Ovis aries: one gene and its partners. The protein of the gene in region 1 binds, or shares a complex with, the protein of each later gene. Links are inferred from orthologs where the notes say so. Each region holds a gene or a part of one and is shown in the gene's direction. Other genes may lie near its edges.

Region 1 (2,684 bases):
TGGGACCCACACCTCTGCTCCTCCCAGAACCTCTCCCTGTAGCCTCACTGTCCTTACGATGGCCACCCCGCCATCCTCCCCAGCAGCTCCTCCTCTTCACGTCCCTCCACTCCCCAGCCCCTCCCCTCCTTCTAGCTGGTGGAACCCTGGAGTTTCAGGGCACCCCCTGCATTCTGTGAGGGGGCCTGGGGTACTCACCTTGTCCCTACTCCTTGCTCCAGGACTACCCCTCCGTGGGTCAAGTAGCCCAGGCCCTCTCTGCGGCAAACATTCAGCCCATCTTTGCTGTCACCAGCGCCACACTGCCTGTCTACCGGGTAAGAGCTGTGTGAATGCCAAACCCTCCCATGCCCAGCCTTTCTCAGCTCCCTCAAAGGCCCATTTTCCCCTCCCGATATGCTCTTCTTCCAGAGTCCCCCCTCCATCCGCAAGCTTATTTCCTGAGAGTTGTGACCCACCATTTCCTTCAACTCCCCCCATCGCAGGAGCTGAGTAAGCTGATTCCCAAGTCTGCAGTAGGGGAGCTGAGTGAGGACTCCAGCAATGTGGTGCAGCTCATCATGGATGCTTATAATGTGAGGGGCTGGGTGGGTGGGGGGCACTGGGGAAAATGGAAAGGGACCCCCAGGTAGGATGGCAGAACCAAGAGGACAATCACCTGTTGGTATCACACCCCACAGCTCCTGCCTATAGTCTGTGTGTGTGGCCGTCATTAACAGCTCAGTCACTCAGTCTTGTACTCATTCATAAATCTTAAATGCCTGATTTGTACAGAGCATGAAGCACTGCTCTGGGCAAGAAAGGGAATTAATATTGATTGAGTTTTTATTTCATGCCAAGCACCATCCCAAGTATACACTGTTTGATGTCTCTTTTACTCCACTAAAACCCCTCCCTGCTTGGAAACTATTTTTCTAGTTTTATCCATGGGGATACAGACGCAGGGAGGAGGCTAAGTGACTTGCCCAAGATCACACAGATAACAGACACAAGGGCTGGCACTTGTCTATACATAAAGAATGTCATATCTGGAGATTGCCTTCACTATAAGCTTATCAATAATTCAGAGATAATCTTCACAGGAACCATAGAATTTTACAGGTAGACAGAACCATAAAAATTCATGTTTCTTGGGGTTAGGTCTTATCTCTGCAACTCGACTGCAGGCTTCTTGATAACAGAGACTGTGTTCTAAACCCATGGTGAAAAAATGTGAGACAATATCAAATTTCCCAGGACAAACTCAACTGAAAGAATCTGCTCTTTAGACCTTGTATGCTCACAGATTACATGTCCAGACATGAGGTTTGAAAAAGCTAGCTACTACGTTTACAGTGCTGGCTAGCCCCTGAGCCCCACCAGGTCTTTGCCGCAGCGGCACTGAGATGCCGTGTTGGAAACTTCTGGACCCTGTGTTCTCGCTCAAGGTCATCCCAGGTCCTTCCTGCAAACTCCTCCTGACTGGGCCGAGCAGAAGGAGCCCCCAGGTGGGCTGAGGGCGGGGTTCCGGCAGGATGCAGAACAGCTGGAGAGGGCCTGAGCTGTAACCAGCCTTCACATGGTCACTCTCTCTCGCTCTTTCCCCAGAGCCTGTCATCCACTGTGACCCTCGAACACGACTCTCTTCTCCCTCCGGGGGTCCGCATCTCTTATGAATCTCAGTGTGGGGATTCTGAGAAGAGACTGGGTGAAGCTGCCGACCGGGGCCAGTGCAACCACGTCCGAATCAACCAGACGGTGAGAAGGAAGGGTGTGGGGTGTGGGGTGGGGGTTGGGGGAATTGAGCAGGCAGGAGGGGATGGGGGGACAGGCCTGGGAAACAATGTAAAAAGCCTGAGGTATCCTCCACCCGTCCTTTCTGAGACACTTTAATGAGCAGCTTCCTCCAATGGTTCTAGGAGATGGGTGTTGGCATGACCCTGTCCCTTCATTCGCTAGGCAGGGTTCTGGATGACCAATGGGTTTGCAGTGTGTGCACGCGCACAGGAGTGTGTATGCACACAGGATCTTAGTATGAATCCCCCCTGCCTTGTCCTCAGGTGAAGTTTTGGGTTACTTTCCAAGCTGCCCGCTGCCTCCCAGAGCCTCATCTGCTGAGGTTCCGAGCCCGTGGCTTCTCCGAGGAGCTGACTGTGGAGCTGCACACACTGTGTGACTGTAACTGCAGTGACGCCCAGCTCCAGGCTCCTCACTGCAGCGATGGCCAGGGGCACCTCCAGTGTGGGGTGTGCAGGTGAGAGCCCACTTCCCTCACCCATATGGCTCCCCCGTACTCCTCCCACCTCACCCTCCATCCCTCCACCCGCGACTGTCTCTAGGTATCTTTTTCGTAGACCTTCCAAGACTCCACCCTGACTTTCACCTCCTGAAGCTTCTTCCCTCCACTCCAGCTCCCCCTGCTCTTCTGCTCCTCAGAACTCCGTTCTAGTCCATGCTCCTCTCAGCCTCTGCTCTCTCTCCAGCTATCTTGAGATCTTAGGTTTAGAGAGTTTGGGGAAAGGCAGGTCAAGACATGGTCAAATTCTCTGATCCCTCCTTTCCCTCTCTTCCCTTCCCCTCCCAGCTGTGTCCCCGGCCGCCTGGGTCGACTCTGTGAGTGTTCAGAGGCTGAGCTATCCTCCCCAGACCTGGAGTCTGGGTGCCGGGCCCCCAATGGCACAGGGCCCCTGTGCAGCGGGAGGGGA
Region 2 (3,647 bases), on another chromosome or scaffold:
CCCAGCCCAGCCTCAGAGTGCCAAAGTGCACTCGGTGGCCCACCCTCTTCCTGCCTCCCTCCCTTCCTGCCCCTCCCAGCAGTGACGTTATTCAGATGGTCCCCAACCAGACCTGGGAGGGGAGGCCCGCCCCAGCCAGGGATGCCAGCAAGAGGCCACAAGCACATGGGAGCCTCTGGAGGCTGGAGGCCTGGACCTTGGCCAAGGTGGCCCTGGAGAAAGCTAGAGGATGGCAGGGGTTTGATGACTCCGTCCAGGGGGCCTTGGGGTCTGAGATGACAGGCCCGTGTCCCTGGGCCAGGGGATAGGACCTTGGGGACCAGGGGCAGGGTCAAGACTGGGGCCGAGAGAGCGGTCTTGGTTTACCTTGGCCGCCATGTGCCAGCGGAGGCAAAGAGCCCAGTTGGGGAACCGAAGTCACTTCGGTATCAGTTGCAGGGCTGGCTTGGGCTAGGCTGCTGGTGGGTGGGTGGGGCTTGAGGGGAGAACCTCAAGGGGTGGGGGGCTTCAAGGATGGAGCAGCCCAGACCTGATGAAGAGCTGGGTGCTGGGCAGGGAGCACGGGCAGTTGGGGTCAACTGAGGTTTGGGCCCAGGCCACTTACTAGATGGTGGGTCCAGGTTCCGAGCCAGGGAGAGCAGGTGTGGCTGTGTATGAGGTGAGGCCTCCCAGTTGGGGGTGGGCGGTGGGGGTCCAGGCGTAGTGTTCTGGAGCCCCGCAAAGTGGGCACCCTCAGTGGACAGTACAGTTCAGGGGCTGGCCAAGTGGCCGGCTGGGGACCCCCTTGAATTTGGCCCTGGGGTGGGTTCGGTGTTGCCAGCTGCTTCCCTGGCAGGGGCCAGGCTCCAGAAAGCACTCGCTGCCAGGCCTCACGGTCCCCAGCCCCCCGAGCCTCCATGGCTGAGCCCAGATCATAACGTCACTGTCCCTCCCCTCTGCTCTCACCGCCTCGCAGCCGTGGCTCTGGCTTGGGCCCCCTGCCTCCCTGCCCTATGGGTACTGGCCCCCCTGCTGCGCTGCACTGCCTGGGTGCTAACCCCGCTGCCTTCCTGCTTCCCTGCTCCCGGTTCCCTGCCTGCACCAAGCCATGCCCGGCTGCCCCTTCTCTGCAAGTCTCCGGTCGAGCGAGCCTTCTCAGTTGTCAGGAAACTCCGATTGCAACTTCAGGCCCCAGGGGTGGGGAACAAGTGTCACATGCCCCACGCTGCAGCAGGACTCTGCCTCACTGCGTCCGCACACGGCACTGGGGGCCAGGGCATGGCCACAGGGGTGAAGGCAGCCCGAGGCTCAGCTGTCAGTCAGAATGGTCCAGGGCACCACTGGCTGAGGCCAAGTTGGCAGGGGAGATGGCAGCAAATGCTTAGGCCCTGGCAGTGGCCTCGGGGCTTTCCAGGCCCTTCTTCTTCTCAGACTCTTGGATGCCAACCATTGGGCTTTTCCCACATGACAGGGATACCCCCCGAGACAGGACTCCCGGGCTTGAGGTGGTTCAGGGGAACCTTTCCTGCCTTCTGAGAAATCACTCACCATCCCAGCTTGGGGGGCGGGAGGCCTGGCTGTGCTTGGTGGTTGGCAGTAAGAGGCCTGGGCGGCTGACACGTGAATGGCCACGGCCTGAGCACCAAGCTCATGCCCCGGCCCCCCCTTCGGGGACCCACCCTGCCCCACCAGGTGCTGGCATCGGCCCCACCATCCAGATAGGGGAGGAGACCGTGATCACCGTGGACACCAAGGCGGCGGGCAAAGGCAAGGTCACCTGCACTGTGTGCACGCCCGACGGCTCTGAGGTGGACGTGGACGTGGTTGAGAATGAGGATGGCACCTTTGACATTTTCTACACGGCTCCCCAGCCCGGCAAATACGTCATCTGCGTGCGCTTCGGTGGTGAACATGTGCCCAACAGTCCCTTCCAAGTGACGGTCAGGAGGGACTGGGGCTGGGTGGGGGTCTGGGCAGGGACCTGGCTCGCCGCCCCCACGGGGCTCGCGGGTTTGGACAGCCTCGAGCTCTGTGCCTTGCTCTGCAGGCTCTGGCTGGAGACCAGCCCACGGCACAGCCACCATTACGGCCTCAGCAGCTGGCACCACCATATACCTACGCCCAGGGGGGCCAGCAGACCTGGGTATGGCTTGCCCTGCCGCCTCCAAGCCCCCCCCGCCCTCGGGGACACTTGGGGATGGACCAGCTGGGTGTCCCGTGAGGCCCTGTTCCACTATCTTCGAGGGAGGGACCCTGGAGCCTATCACTCGGGACTCCCTTTCCCTCCAGCTCCTCACTCAGGCCTTCTGTGTCTCCGCCCCCCGCAGGCCCCAGAAAGGCCCCTGGTGGGGGTCAATGGGCTGGATGTGAGCAGCCTGAGGCCCTTTGACCTTGTCATCCCCTTTACCATCAAGAAGGGCGAGGTCACTGGTGAGTGCAGCTGGGAAGGGGCTAGGGAGCCACAGAGGCCGGAGGGTGCCCATGGGCTGCCCTGACTCAGGCCCCCCTTTCCCCTGCAGGGGAGGTGCGGATGCCCTCAGGCAAGGTGGCACAGCCCGCCATCACTGACAACAAGGATGGCACCGTGACTGTGCGCTACGCCCCCAGTGAAGCTGGCCTGCACGAGATGGACATCCGCTATGACAACATGCACATCCCAGGTACGTCCACTCAGCATGCCAGACCACCTCCTGGGGGGGCAGGCTGTGGGACAGACTTGGGGATGACGGGAGGCCCTGGTCCATGTGGTCCCTATTCCTGCTACAGGAAGCCCCCTACAGTTCTACGTGGATTATGTCAACTGTGGCCACGTCACAGCCTATGGGCCGGGCCTCACACATGGGGTGGTGAATAAGCCTGCTATCTTCACCGTCAACACCAAGGATGCGGGCGAGGGTGAGCAGCCCCTCTCATCGTGACCTGCCTGATTGAGGCAGGATGCCGTCATCTGTTGGGGGGCTGGACACAGGAGATGCTCCCCAAACAGGGCTCCCTACCCCACCCCCAGCCTCTGCTTGCATGGTTGGTGCAGTGTCCCCGGGCACAGTTTGTACCCTCACTCACAACTCTCTCCAGGGGGCTTGTCCCTGGCCATTGAGGGCCCCTCCAAAGCAGAGATCAGCTGCACCGACAACCAGGATGGGACGTGCAGTGTCTCCTACCTGCCCGTGTTACCTGGTGACTACAGCATCCTGGTCAAGTACAACGAACAGCACATCCCAGGCAGCCCCTTCACTGCCAGGGTCACAGGTAGGGGACGGCCTGCAGCGGTGACAAAGGAGGCAGCTGGCGGTGGGGGGGGGGGCGGTCTCCCTCTCGGTGCCTGGACACACAGTGACTGACCCCTGCCAGGTGACGACTCCATGCGCATGTCCCACCTGAAGGTGGGCTCTGCAGCTGACATCCCCATCAACATCTCCGAGACGGACCTCAGCCTGCTGACTGCCACAGTGGTGCCCCCCTCAGGCCGGGAAGAACCCTGTCTGCTGAAGCGGCTGCGTAACGGCCACGTGGGTAAGAGGCTGGGCTGCAGGGCCTTCCGAGAGGGAGGGAAGCTGGGTGGGGGGTAGTTGCATATCTTTCCCTGGCTGACAGCCCCGCTCTGTGCCTAGGGATCTCGTTCGTGCCCAAGGAGACAGGAGAACACCTGGTGCACGTGAAGAAGAATG
Region 3 (4,411 bases), on another chromosome or scaffold:
GTGTTTATGATTCTATTATTCCTTCCCCATTTGTTGGTAATGACTTTTCCTTAAAGAACGTTTTCTTGCCAACTAGGACTGTTTGGTGACCCTGAAATGCAGTGCATACAGGAAAGGCAAGAAGATTAATACTTTCCCTTTAACAGTCGACTTTCAGAGTTAGGGGACAATGCCCTCATTTCACTGCTGATGGTGAACAATGTAGTGTTTTGATTTCTTTTGTTTTTGTTTCCTCTTGGAAACAACTTGGCGACCGAACAACAACTGTCTTTTAAGTATCATTAAGAATCCCTGGAATTTTTACATATTAAGTGTGTTTCAGACACTCGCAATTATTATTGTTTTTTAAATTGAACTATAGTTGATTTACAATATTGAGTTAATTTTAGGTGTACAGCAAAATGATCCCATTATATTGGGTTGGCCAAAAAATTCTTTCAGGTTTTCCCATAAGACATTACACATATACGTTCTTTTTCTTTATAGGCTATCACAATACACTGAATATATATATAGTTCCCTGTGCTATACAATAAATCCTTGTTGTTTATCTATTTTATGTATGTGTGCTTCATTCGTGTCTGACTCTTTGCAACCCTATGGACTGTAGCCCTCCAGGCTCTTCTGTTAATGGGAGTAACTGCCAGGCAGGAATACTGGAGTATAGCAGTGTATTAATCCCGAACTCCTAATTTATTCCTTCTCACCCCTGCGATTATTAATTTTTAAGGTAGGCTGTTTTTTGAAGTCACGCACAAAAACGAACAAAGTCAGAGCAGTGCATTTTCAAATTAAATCAAATCCACATGCTGATACCCATTTCAAGAAACAGAACATCATCACCAACATCCATAAACACCTCCTGTGGACCCTCCAGTCATTACCCCCAAGGGTAACCATCCTCCTGACTTCTAATATCATGGATTCGTTTGCCTGTTTTGAACTTCACTTACATGAAATCATACATGTTCTGTTTCGTCCCCACTGGTTTTCCTCTGACATTGTGTTCATAGATCTACCCACTTTGTAGCCAATTATTTTTGTTTCTGCAGGGTATTCCATTGGTGAATATACTGCAGCTTGTTGGTAGATATGTGGGTTGTTCCAGTTTGGGGTTATTATGAATAGTGAGGCTGTGAACATTCTTGTACATGTCTTTTCATGAATTTATGAACATATTTCTGTTGGATTTATGCCTAAGGCTAGAATCGCTGAGTCACGAGTTATGCATATATTCAGCTGTAGTTGATAATAGCCAAACAGTTTTCTAAAGGGGTTACACAAATTTACACCCCCACCAGCAGTATATGACTATTCTAATGGCTCTACATTATTGTTAACACATGGTATTATCTTTTTCAGTTTAGCCATTCTGGTGGTTATGTAGTGGTATTTTTACTGAAAGACTGTGTGTGAGGTCCGGCTGCTCGCCGCTCAAAAGCCAGTAAACAGGCCAAGTAGGTGGAAAGGAAAGTTTGCTTTATTTCAGAAGCCAGCAGCTGGAGGGTGGGGGGAGGTGGATGTCTGTCCAAAGTCCAATCCCCTCCCCGCCATCCCCGGCAACCAGTGGGGCAGGAGCTTTTATAGACAGAAGGACAGGGTGTTGGGGGTGGGTGCTACATGCAGAAACCGCAGTCAGCTCTGATAGTCATCTTCAAATTGGTCATCAGTGGTCTAACCAGTATCATCTTCACTGTTTTAGGTACAGTTAATCTTCAGTTCCGGGGTCCGTTTGTTCTCATTTCTTTGTGGCCAGTTCTTGGAATTGTGGCAGGAATTGTCCTGGGTACAGCCTGGTCATCGTGTAGCTAACTTCTCTGCCTGGTGTGTCTAGAAGACAGCTCATAGGACATGGCTCAGAGCATTACCTATAGCCCTTGAGAAAGAATTAAAGGTCCTTGACTATGCTTAATGACTATGTTCTTATTAGTTAGTCTCCTTTGACAGTTTCCCCTTGATTCTGCATTTCTCGCTTCTCGGATAAAACTTATTCTTTGACCAAAGTTTTCCACAGACAAAAGGCAGGCAGAGGTGTCAGGGTAGGGGGCAAGGACCCATAAGATCTTGCATTTTTTCAGTATTGCATGATCTCAGTTTGCCTTTCTGTGAAGCCTAGTGATGACTTCTCATATGATTGCTGGCCACCTGGATAGTCTCTTTTGTGAAACGTCCTTCTTTCTGTTAGCTTACATGCCTTTTTCATATTGATTTGTAGGAACTCTTCACAGATTCTGACATGAATCTTTTGTCAGATGCTTGTATTGCAAACATCTCCTCTCTCTCTGTGGCTTGCCTCTCTACTCTTTTAGTGATGTCTTCCGACAAACAGTTCTTAAGCCTAATGAAGTTCAGCTTATCAATGCTTTTCTTTATAGCTAGTGTTTTTTTGTGATCTGTTTAAAAAGTATCTGTCTACCCCAAGGTCCTTTGTTTTCTCTTAAAAGCTTTCTTTTTCACTTTTCATAGGTAGATATATGGTCCATCTAAACACACATTTAAATCTTCAGTTCATCAGGAGTTGATTTTTTGTGTCTAACATAAGTCAAGATTAATTTTTTTCAGTGTTGATATCCAAGTGACCCAGCACGATTTATTTAAAAGATCATTCTTTCACCTTACTGAGAAAGAGTAAGTGACACCTTACTGTCACCCTTGTCCTAAATCAAGTGACCATATGTTTTGGACTCTTTGTTCCATTGATCTATCTGTCTATCTTTGGCACCCCACTCCAGTACTCTTGCCTGGAAAATCCCATGGATGGAGGAGCCTGGTAGGCTGCAGTCCATGGGATCATGAAGAGTTGAAGAGTCAGACACGACTGAGCAACTTCACTTTCACTTTTCACTTTCATGCATTGGAGAAGGAAATGGCAACCCACTCCAGTGTTCTTGCCTGGAGAATCCCAGGGACAGCGGAGCCTGGTGAGCTGCCATCTATGGGGTCGCACAGAGTCGGACACGACTGAAGTGACTTAGCAGCAGCAGTAGCAGCAGCATGCCAATATAATTCTGTTTTAATAACTGTAAATTTATAATAATATTGATAAATGATAAATCCAAAAATTTTATTCTTCTTCTTCAAGAGTACCTGACTATTCTTTCCCATTGTGTTTCTTTCTTTCTTCCTTTTTAAAAAAATGTCAGCTCTGTCTTCCTTGTTTAAAAATTAATTTATTTCTTAATTGGAGGAAAATTGCTTTATAGTGTTGTGTTGGTTTCTGCCCTAGAACTCGAATCAGTCATAATTATATTGCCCTTTGCATTTTCACATATATATTTTTAAATGGCTTGCTAACATCTCCCCTCTCTCCACAATAATTTGCTAGGTTTTTTTTTTTAACTAATCAATTTTATTTTTTTTATTTATTTGGCTGCCTTTATTTGGGCTATGAACTGTAGCCCATCAGTTTCCTCTGTTCATGGGTTTCTCCAGGCAAACATACCGGAGTGTGTTGCCATGCCCTCCTCCAGGGGGTCTTCCTGACCCAGGGGCTGAGCTTGCATCTTTTATGTCTTCTGCATTGGCAGCTGGGTTCTTTACCATTACAGCCACCTGGGAAGCCCCAAGTTGTGTATACTATCCTCTTATTTCATAAATGTCTTAGGCTCTGTTCCAATGTGGTCTTTTCATTCATATTGGTAATTTCTATGTTCTTTCTCTCTTTTTATTTTCTTCCTTAATCAGTGTTGCTAGAGGTTTATCAGCTTTATCACTCTTTTTAAAAACCAAGCTTTGATTTTCTCTATGTAGGTTAGTTTTCTGTTTCACTGATATGCTCATATCTTTATTCCTTCCATATTCCTCTCCGAGTTTGACTTGCTTTTCATTTAGCTTTTTGAGATGGAATATTAGATAATTAGTTTTCAGTTTTTCTTTTTTTTTAAAAACATATGCGTATAATGCCGTGTTTCCTCTAAGCACTTTGTTAACTGTATCACACACGTTTTGATTTGTCCTATCTTAATTCTCATTCAGTTAAAAATATTTTAAGGTCTCCATTTTTGACCTTACATTCTTTAGAAGTACAATGCTTATTTTCCAAGAAGTTCAGATTTTTCTTGCTTTCTCTTTGTTATTGAATTTCTAGTTTAATTCTACTATAGTCAGAGAACATACTCTGGATTATGTAAATCTGTTGAAACTTACTGAAGTTTATTTTATGACCCAGCACATTTATGGTCAATTTTGATATTTCATGTGTACTTGAAAAAAATGTTTACTTTGCCATTATTGGCTATAATATTATCTGTTAGTCAGTTATATCAAGTTTGTTAATTGTGTTGTTCAGATCTTCTAGATACTTACTGGGTTTGGTTTTTTCCTTTTTTTTTGTCTGCTCTTATACCTGGGAAAGACTTGTTAAATCTTTTAGTTCAGTCAATTTTTGCTTTATATAGTTTGAAGCAATGTT

The links.
Region 2: the proteins of ITGB7 (region 1) and FLNA are in contact, whole or in part, in a crystal structure (PDB 2BRQ), measured with the Homo sapiens proteins. The link is inferred for Ovis aries from reciprocal best matches to the Homo sapiens genes ITGB7 and FLNA. Residues at the interface, in NP_000880.1 of Homo sapiens: Pro776, Leu777, Tyr778, Lys779, Ser780, Ala781, Ile782, Thr783, Thr784, Thr785, Ile786, Asn787, Pro788; in NP_001104026.1 of Homo sapiens: Thr2263, Gly2267, Ala2268, Gly2269, Gly2270, Leu2271, Ala2272, Ile2273, Ala2274, Val2275, Glu2276, Gly2277, Pro2278, Ser2279, Lys2280, Ala2281, Ile2283, Phe2285, Phe2311.
Region 3: the proteins of ITGB7 (region 1) and ITGAE are in contact, whole or in part, in a cryo-EM structure (PDB 8ZJF), measured with the Homo sapiens proteins. The link is inferred for Ovis aries from reciprocal best matches to the Homo sapiens genes ITGB7 and ITGAE. Residues at the interface, in NP_000880.1 of Homo sapiens: Val201, Leu202, Pro203, Ser206, Thr207, Val208, Pro209, Ser210, Lys211, Arg213, His214, Cys216, Pro217, Arg219, Leu220, Glu221, Arg222, Leu255, Asp256, Ser257, Pro258, Thr291, Phe292, His293, Thr294, Ala295, Gly296, Asp297, Lys299, Leu300; in NP_002199.3 of Homo sapiens: Phe36, Leu38, Arg91, His92, Arg93, Gly94, Leu111, Arg113, Leu118, Ser119, Ser120, Leu122, Glu196, Glu198, Arg230, Tyr233, Glu234, Phe237, Glu238, Cys239, Asn240, Ser259, Gln260, Val262, Met263, Leu266, Arg300, Leu401, Gln403, Phe406.

The regions. Positions count from the first base shown.
Region 1 is NC_056056.1:133,285,312-133,287,995, forward strand, and holds part of ITGB7 (integrin beta-7), read left to right. Parts: intron 1-221; coding exon 222-317; intron 318-485; coding exon 486-575; intron 576-1,587; coding exon 1,588-1,737; intron 1,738-2,039; coding exon 2,040-2,233; intron 2,234-2,563; coding exon 2,564-2,684. UniProt on the Homo sapiens protein: Integrin ITGA4/ITGB7 (alpha-4/beta-7) (Peyer patches-specific homing receptor LPAM-1) is an adhesion molecule that mediates lymphocyte migration and homing to gut-associated lymphoid tissue (GALT).
Region 2 is NC_056080.1:80,094,705-80,098,351, forward strand, and holds part of FLNA (filamin-A), read left to right. Parts: intron 1-1,671; coding exon 1,672-1,919; intron 1,920-2,026; coding exon 2,027-2,122; intron 2,123-2,306; coding exon 2,307-2,409; intron 2,410-2,498; coding exon 2,499-2,639; intron 2,640-2,745; coding exon 2,746-2,874; intron 2,875-3,054; coding exon 3,055-3,228; intron 3,229-3,330; coding exon 3,331-3,492; intron 3,493-3,590; coding exon 3,591-3,647. UniProt on the Homo sapiens protein: Promotes orthogonal branching of actin filaments and links actin filaments to membrane glycoproteins. Anchors various transmembrane proteins to the actin cytoskeleton and serves as a scaffold for a wide range of cytoplasmic signaling proteins.
Region 3 is NC_056064.1:24,320,681-24,325,091, reverse strand, and holds the start of ITGAE (integrin alpha-E), read left to right. Parts: upstream 1-1,609; 5' UTR 1,610-1,620; coding exon 1,621-1,702; intron 1,703-4,411. UniProt on the Homo sapiens protein: Integrin alpha-E/beta-7 is a receptor for E-cadherin. It mediates adhesion of intra-epithelial T-lymphocytes to epithelial cell monolayers.